Linked DNA regions of Arabidopsis thaliana. The protein of the gene in region 2 purifies or fractionates together with the protein of the main gene of each other region. This does not show direct contact. Each region holds a gene or a part of one and is shown on either strand. Other genes may lie near its edges.

Evidence for each region. The genes of interacting proteins can lie anywhere in the genome.
Region 1: the proteins of AT5G44500 (region 2) and AT1G20580 fractionate together in Arabidopsis thaliana (co-fractionation; one large-scale study listed by BioGRID). This does not show direct contact.

Annotation. Positions count from the first base shown.
Region 1 is NC_003070.9:7,126,802-7,130,557, reverse strand, and holds the start of AT1G20580 (Small nuclear ribonucleoprotein family protein), read right to left. Parts: upstream 1,692-3,756; 5' UTR 1,580-1,691; coding exon 1,421-1,579; intron 780-1,420; coding exon 727-779; intron 634-726; coding exon 567-633; intron 471-566; coding exon 417-470; intron 250-416; coding exon 187-249; 3' UTR 1-186. Other genes in the region: DPMS1 (Nucleotide-diphospho-sugar transferases superfamily protein), read left to right, coding at 1,881-1,999, 2,425-2,524, 2,619-2,652, 2,734-2,810, 2,887-2,912, 3,003-3,167, 3,255-3,369, 3,467-3,571. UniProt on the Arabidopsis thaliana protein: Core component of the spliceosomal U1, U2, U4 and U5 small nuclear ribonucleoproteins (snRNPs), the building blocks of the spliceosome. May play a major role in the splicing of cellular pre-mRNAs. Required for normal plant development.
Region 2 is NC_003076.8:17,925,728-17,929,483, reverse strand, and holds the start of AT5G44500 (Small nuclear ribonucleoprotein family protein), read right to left. Parts: upstream 2,038-3,756; 5' UTR 1,980-2,037; coding exon 1,215-1,979; 3' UTR 1,211-1,214; exon of another isoform or gene 332-1,210; 3' UTR 1-331. Other genes in the region: AT5G44495 (ECA1 gametogenesis related family protein), read left to right, coding at 2,774-3,133; AT5G44490 (FBD, F-box, Skp2-like and Leucine Rich Repeat domains containing protein), read right to left, coding at 3,641-3,720.

The DNA of each region.
Region 1 (3,756 bases), on a different chromosome or scaffold from region 2:
AATGATTCAAACATCTTGGTAACCCAAAATACAGAACTAGTAGTGCATCTGGATATCTCTCTCTCTTGTTTGGTTTTACAGTGTTCTCTAAAGCATTAATGACAGAACCAAGAAAGGCGGCTTTCACCTGGATATCACAGAAAGACTATCCCAGAATCAAAGCTTACATGTTGAGCGTAAAATCAATCATCTCCTCACAGGTGGTACCGCTCCCCTTCCTCCAGTTCCACGCCCGGGCCCGGCAGCCGGCTTTAAGATAATATCACAAAGATTCAAGAATCTAACCATTAGTAGTGACAAAGAAGAAACAAACCATTAAGGGATAACAAGGATTTGAACATCTTAACAAGTTCCATAAAACTTCCTAACATTGCATTCATGAGCACTAAATCATAAGAGAGAGAGGGTGAACTTACTTTCCCTCGCATTGCACCTCTACCTCTGCCAACACCCAGTGATGAGCTCTTTCCCTACATTGATTAAGCAAGTAAGGTAAGATGTTTGTTGGAGATATGTATAGAGATCCTAATATCATTCTGCATCCAGGGTTCAAAAAGCATATATACCTTGATTCTAGCATCTAACCGCTTGAACATTGGAGCATGTTTGAGAATGTCTGGTATGACCATAAACCTGTCAAGATATATCCGCAGGTCAATTACTAAACAGCTAGGGTTAACAAGAATGATCCCATGAATTACATAAACAAGGAAACAAGTACAGCACCTGACTTTACTGCCTCGAATGAAGACATGCTCAAGCTGTGATACCTTACCATCCTGTAACACAGCATTGGAAAACCCAAAACAAAAGTTCAGTGACAATTAACAAACAAACCCATTAAGTTGACAGATTATTTATGTATACTATGAAGAATAACACTTAAAGAGTTAAGACTTTCTGAATTGAGAACTACATGTAGTTCTTTTCCCAATAATTACAGGTTGACTCAAAACCCATACGGCACAATAATCCGCAAATAAGAGGACGCTTTAAGACCTGCATACTTCAGATAATTCACATTTGACCACTGTATTCCTAAAGAGCAACTTAGGCTTTGGATAAAACGTTACAAAGCACAAACGTAGAACCTTTCTTCTCAGTTATTGATGTGTCCTATAGATCAATAATAAGTTTAACCAATCAGAGGAGACTATACCCTACAGTCAAAATTTATCTAATGTCACTGGCAGGATCACGCATTCTAGGGTTTTATACAGCATGAATTTCAAGGATTCTTAATCTCACTTAGAACTTAAAATAAGAAGCAATCTAAAATTTCCCAGCAAATTTGCCCAGCTCACCAAATCTAGGGTTTTAACAGCACTAACATCAAACAATGAAATTGAAACGAAACCTATGGTTCAAAAAACAGTCTCATATAAAATGAATCGAGATCTTCAGAGTATCAGTTGATTACCTTGGCGGTATAAGTAATATCCTCGAGCTGACAGTTCCAGTTATCCTCACACTCAATCATACTTCCTCTGTAAAGCTCGCCGCTCTTTAGCTCCACCGTCACGATATGACCTGAGGCCTCGTGAAGAAGCTTCACCGGTATTCCCAAACTTCGGCTCATCTTTCTCTCTACAAAACCCTAATTGAAAACCTTCTCCTTTAACTCTGCAACCTAGAAAGAAAAAAATGGCGGAAGGAAAGAAGAGCGACTCAGATGCGATTGACGAGTTTACCTCTTTTAAAGCTTTCCTGATTTATTTTTGGGCTTTATATAGGCCCATATTTATATTAGGCCCAATTTGAGAAACTTGCTTTTTAGTCCCTATATTTGACATTATTTTAATCCTTATTTTTGTACAGACGACGGCTGATTTCACGGGTTAAGACGAAGGAACCACCGTTACCAAAACTCGCCGGAAGAGATGGCGGACGAGATGGAGACCAAAGGAGAGAAGAAGTACAAGTATAGCATAATCATTCCTACCTACAACGAGCGCCTCAACATCGCTATCATAGTCTACCTGATTTTCAAGCATCTCCGGTAAATGAATATTTATTTCTTTTGGTCTTTTCACGTTCATTCTTTCATTTCAGAATCGGAATTACGTTTTTTGTTATTCTTTTACTGAATACTCGAACCTGATCGCCAATTTCAAGTTACGGATCTCGGAAATTTTCCGATCATGTTTCTGTAGATTGCAGATCCTAATTCGTGATTTGTTGTTTCTGTGCATGAGCTAGTAAAGGCCAATGTAGTGATCCCTCAAACTATATAGTAGTAGTTTCATGGTGTTTTAAAAACTTTGATTTAGTGATCGGAGAATAGTCAGAAGCTACATGTGCTAATCTTAGATCGATTCTGGTTATGGCTGCTTATATGAAATTAATATAGAATTGCACTTGTTAAGTAGACTCTTTGTTAACTGTTACTGAGAATTTGCTTCGCTACTTGTTTGTATGATTTAGGGACGTTGATTTTGAGATAATTGTTGTGGATGATGGGAGTCCTGATGGCACACAGGAAATTGTCAAGCAACTGCAGCAATTGTATGGTGAAGACCGTATCGTGAGTACAATGATGTGTTAAGACCTTAATTTGTAAATTATTGGGCGTTCTTCTGTTTAGGTGAAATCATGTTTTTATCTTTTTTATGATGCAGCTTTTAAGAGCTAGAGCCAAGAAGCTTGGTTTGGGTATGTAATTTGTATCTTCATTGTCTTCTAGTTTTGGTTAACAAGAAATGAAATTAATTTTCTTGGCATGGTCAATCTCAGGAACTGCATATATTCATGGTTTGAAGCATGCTACGGGTGATTTCGTCGTGATCATGGATGCTGATCTTTCACATCATGTAAGAGCCATTAATTTAGTTTTCTTGTTTACCTGTTTAATTGTTTAGCTAACCCAGTCACTTTTCTTCTGTGCAGCCAAAATACTTACCAAGTTTCATCAAGTAAGAAAAAGAAGAGTCTCTTGATCTCTTACTAGTTTCACAACCTATAGTGACTTCAACTGATTTGTTTTTTTTCTTATTATCATAAAGGAAACAACTAGAGACAAATGCAAGTATAGTAACTGGTACACGATATGTAAAAGGTGGTGGTGTACACGGGTGGAATCTTATGCGGAAACTCACTAGTAGAGGAGCAAATGTGCTAGCTCAAACACTTTTATGGCCTGGTGTATCTGATTTAACAGGATCATTCCGGTATAATTCAAATAACATATGCGCATATTTTTAACTGACATCATTTGATAGTATCATGTCTGACCTCCGCACCTCTTTGTTTGGAAGGCTATACAAGAAATCGGCGCTTGAAGACGTGATTAGCTCATGTGTGAGTAAAGGGTATGTCTTTCAGATGGAAATGATTGTTCGTGCAACCAGAAAAGGATACCATATTGAAGAGGTCTCTCTTTTTATACCAATTCACTGTGATTTTGATTCTTTCTAAACTATATTTCCATTCATATTCTTGATTCTCTGGTGCTCATCTTCATCTGCAGGTACCGATCACTTTTGTTGACAGAGTCTTTGGAACTTCGAAACTCGGAGGATCTGAAATAGTGGAATATCTAAAAGGCCTCGTCTATCTCCTGCTTACAACTTAAGACACACCAAGCAACTCAACAACACACGAGTCTCTCTTTATACTCTTCATTTGTTCCATTGCTTCATAGATTTCTCTTAACAGTTGAACTCTGATCATGTCGTTTAGAAACTTCACTTACTTTGACTTCAGAGAGTCGCATCTTTTAAGACTCAAAAGTTCATATTATAGACATTGTTGATTTTG
Region 2 (3,756 bases):
GCATGTTTAGGAGGGTGGGTGTCTGATCCAGTGTAAGACTACCGTAAGATATTTGTTACGTACATAACCAGCAACATAGCCTAATATATGTTGAGAACCGAATTGCCAGTCAAAACCATTGAGAGCCTCTTTTACAAGTAATACATTCAAGTTCATGGAGCAAGGTTGTAACTCCTACAAGTTCACTATTTCTAAAATCAGTTGCTTTTTCCACGAGAAATCACCAATATGAACTCATCAATTCTCTGAGCTTCACGGAGAAAAACGCTACGACTAGCCGAGGGGTAACTCAATCATGTGGATGTTGCTTTCGTTGTAGATGAAGTGACTCCTACAATCCAGATCGAGAAAATTGTACTTAGCAGATCTTTCTAACAGAGATATTAAAAAAAAAAAATCATCCAATATCATATGCCAACAGAGAGCAAGGGCAAAAAGATGTATCCACAAGTTCTTCCAATATAGCTAATGAACCCTACAACATCTACAGCTTTCCAAAACAAAATTCACGAACAAACCTTAAACAAGGATCATAAAGGTTCTACTAGTTGGGAAGATATTAAACACGTTTAAAAGTGAACTGAGAAGTTCATCATGAGTTATTCATGCTTCTAAAAGTGTAATAAGGGTTTTTCAAACTCATTAGAACAACAGGCAAGAGAGTTTCTGAGTGTAAGTTACAGGATTCACAATGTGATGATTCTAGAATGCTTTATAGTAACAAACCTTTTAAAGTGATCATACTCTTAAGGAAACATAAGAAGAAAAGCAACTGACAACAAAGCACTCATCAACAACCTAGAAACTGTGCAAGCTAAGACAGTCATGAGCAGACTACTACTCACAACACATGCCCAAGCTAATCAAGACAAGTTCAATTCCACACAAATCACACATGGCCAAGCAGACTAGAAATTGCTGATAAATTATAAAGGCTAATTAAGTAGAATTTCTGTGTAAGTTATCAGTTCAAGTTACAAGAAAGTTTTTGTGTAAGTTAAAGGTTTCACAAATAAACTATCAGCAGACTAGTAGAGACTGCAGCTAACTTATGATTTATAAACTTCAGTCACTACACAAGTCCAAGCTAAATCAAAATAAGTTCAATTTCAACCAAATCTCACATCATAGCCAAGCTACACTTACAAGCAACCATCAGCAGATAATAAAGGATAATCAAGTAGTGTTCCAAAACTTGATAAACAGCTACCTAATCAATGTTGCTGATTATGGTGATTTGGCGGAGCAGGTGGCATGCCAGGATGAGGCGGAGCAAACATCGGAGCACCACCGGGGGGAGGCATTCCAGGGCGAGAAGGAGGCGGTCCTTGCATACCATGAGGTGGAGGAGGTCCTCTCATCATACCACCAGGTGGAGGAATCATCATTGGCCTTTGCTGTCCACCATACTGAGGCGGTGGTGGACCAGGATACGGTGGTCTCATACCATAAGGTGGAGGAGGACCTCCTTGACCAGCAAAAGGAGGCTGTGGTGGCATTTGTCCCGGAGGACGAATAATCTGTGGTGGTCTAGAGATCTGAGGCTGCATCATTCCAGGAGCAGGTCCACCAATTCCACGAACAGGACCAGATAAACCAGGCTGAGCTTGAACCAATGGACCAGTAGGTACTCCACGTCCAGCAGCACGACCGATTCCGGGACCAGCCACAGCGGTTACAGATCCAGATTTGGCGCGAGATTCTTCAGGTGGCGGTGGACCTTCGACAGTCATCGAAATCACTTCTTCTCCTCTAAGTAAAACCAAACCAAGCGTACGACGCTCTTCTCTTTCTTCGTTCGTCTTCTTATTACCTTTCGCCGGAGGAAGTTTTCGAAACTCTTCGCAGTCGCCAAGAACAAGATTCATGTGGCGATCGAACGCCATGAATTTTCCGATTAGCTGTCTTCCGTCTTGGATTGTTACTCGCATCCTGTAGTTTATGAACTGAAGCATCTTGGAGCTCTTCGACATCGACATTTTTGCCGGCGACTTGTATACGCCGGAGAATTAAGCGAAGAGTTTTGGCAGTGGAATTGGGGAAGAGGGGGAATTTCTACGGTTTTATTCGAGAAAGAATGAATGACACTTTCCTTCTTGTTGGGCTTTGTTTCAATTTGGGCCTAGTTAGAATGGGTTAGGCTATACATAACATAGGTGTATTGCCTTTTTTTTTTTTTCACCATTTGTCAAATTAATTTATATAGTATAGTTTTGTAAATTTATTATTATTCATTGAAAAAACTTTAATGATTTCTTTTTGTCTAAGAGCGAAAAAATTATTATTATTCTCTTTAAACTTTTATTAAATCGTTGAATCTCCGAGATATTGTACATAGAGTATTGTCTTTAGATTCAAGAGACCATTTTTGCTGTAGAATAAAAAAAAAGGGAGAAACGAACAAAAGATCTACCAACACCGAAGGATTAATATTAACTGGATTTATTGGATTAAACTCTGAATTATTTCGGTTATACATATATCATCTCCTCTCATCGATAGTAAAGTAATAAATATTTCTCATAGAGGTGTGTGGCTGTGGACTATCTTTTAATTTTAGAAACTGCTCACTCAATCAAAATAAGAAACTGCCTGTTATTAAATTACCTAATAAAGATTTGAAAAACGTTTCATAAAGACAAATTCAATTAGTACCACCATAGTTCATTTCTTCCCCTATAAATAAATTTGATCTTAGTATTGTTTATCACTCAACAACAAACACGAGAAAGAATTATATATTGGAATATTTCAAACATTTTTTTTTTTTATTATGGCTATAAAAAACGTGATCTTATTTCTAGCGGTTTTATGCATTGCATTGTCTGTAAATGCCCAATTACCACAATTTCCGGCACTTTTTCCTTTTCCATTTCCATTTCTACCGAGTCCCGGTGTACCAGGATTACCTGATATAACAAAATGTTTATCATCTGTGATAAATATTCCAGGGTGCATCGTAGAGTTTTCGCAATCCATACTCTTAGAAAAGTTCGGCAAGATAGGTTCAGCTTGTTGCAAAGCAATTTTGGAAGCCGAAACCAATTGTATTCCGCAACTTCCGTTCAATCCGTTTTTTCCTCCTATGCTAAAGGAACAATGTTCAAAAACTGTTGGCGGAGCCTCCTACTAAAAATTAGAACTTAGAAACCAATAATGTTAACCTTTGCTTTCTTTTTTTTCTTTTTTTTTTCTTTTACTTTGTTTAAGTTGGAAAATACGATTAGGTTTCCGATTTGTATCAAAATTTTTCAACGATATAATAACATCATTAATAACTGGTCACTTTTTCCTCATTTTTACTTAACAGTTGTCTATAACATTTTTAACTAAATTGCACATTTGGATTAGTATGTTTTTCACATCTCATATCTTGGTTGTTTTTGATTCCTATAAATGATTTACGAAGGAGCTATGCACTAACCAGTGACCTCTCATATAAAAAATTCAATACTAAATATTATGAAAAAACCTATGTTGATCGATGCTAATCTAATCGGCCAATGCGCTCACAAAAGAATGCATTGGCTTGTTACACCTAGATGGCTGCAATAGCAACATCAAAGCCAACAGAAAGAGAGTGTCCGCTCGGACGGCCATATGGACATGGTCATGACCAAATGACAGCCCTACTCATAGATTACCTCCCAGATGGTTCTAACAGATAGGCGTCATCCGCTGCCAAACTACACCTCTCATTTTCCCCACCGCAAGACCCGGCTGGAGAACCAAACCACTTGAGGCAGAATCACAATC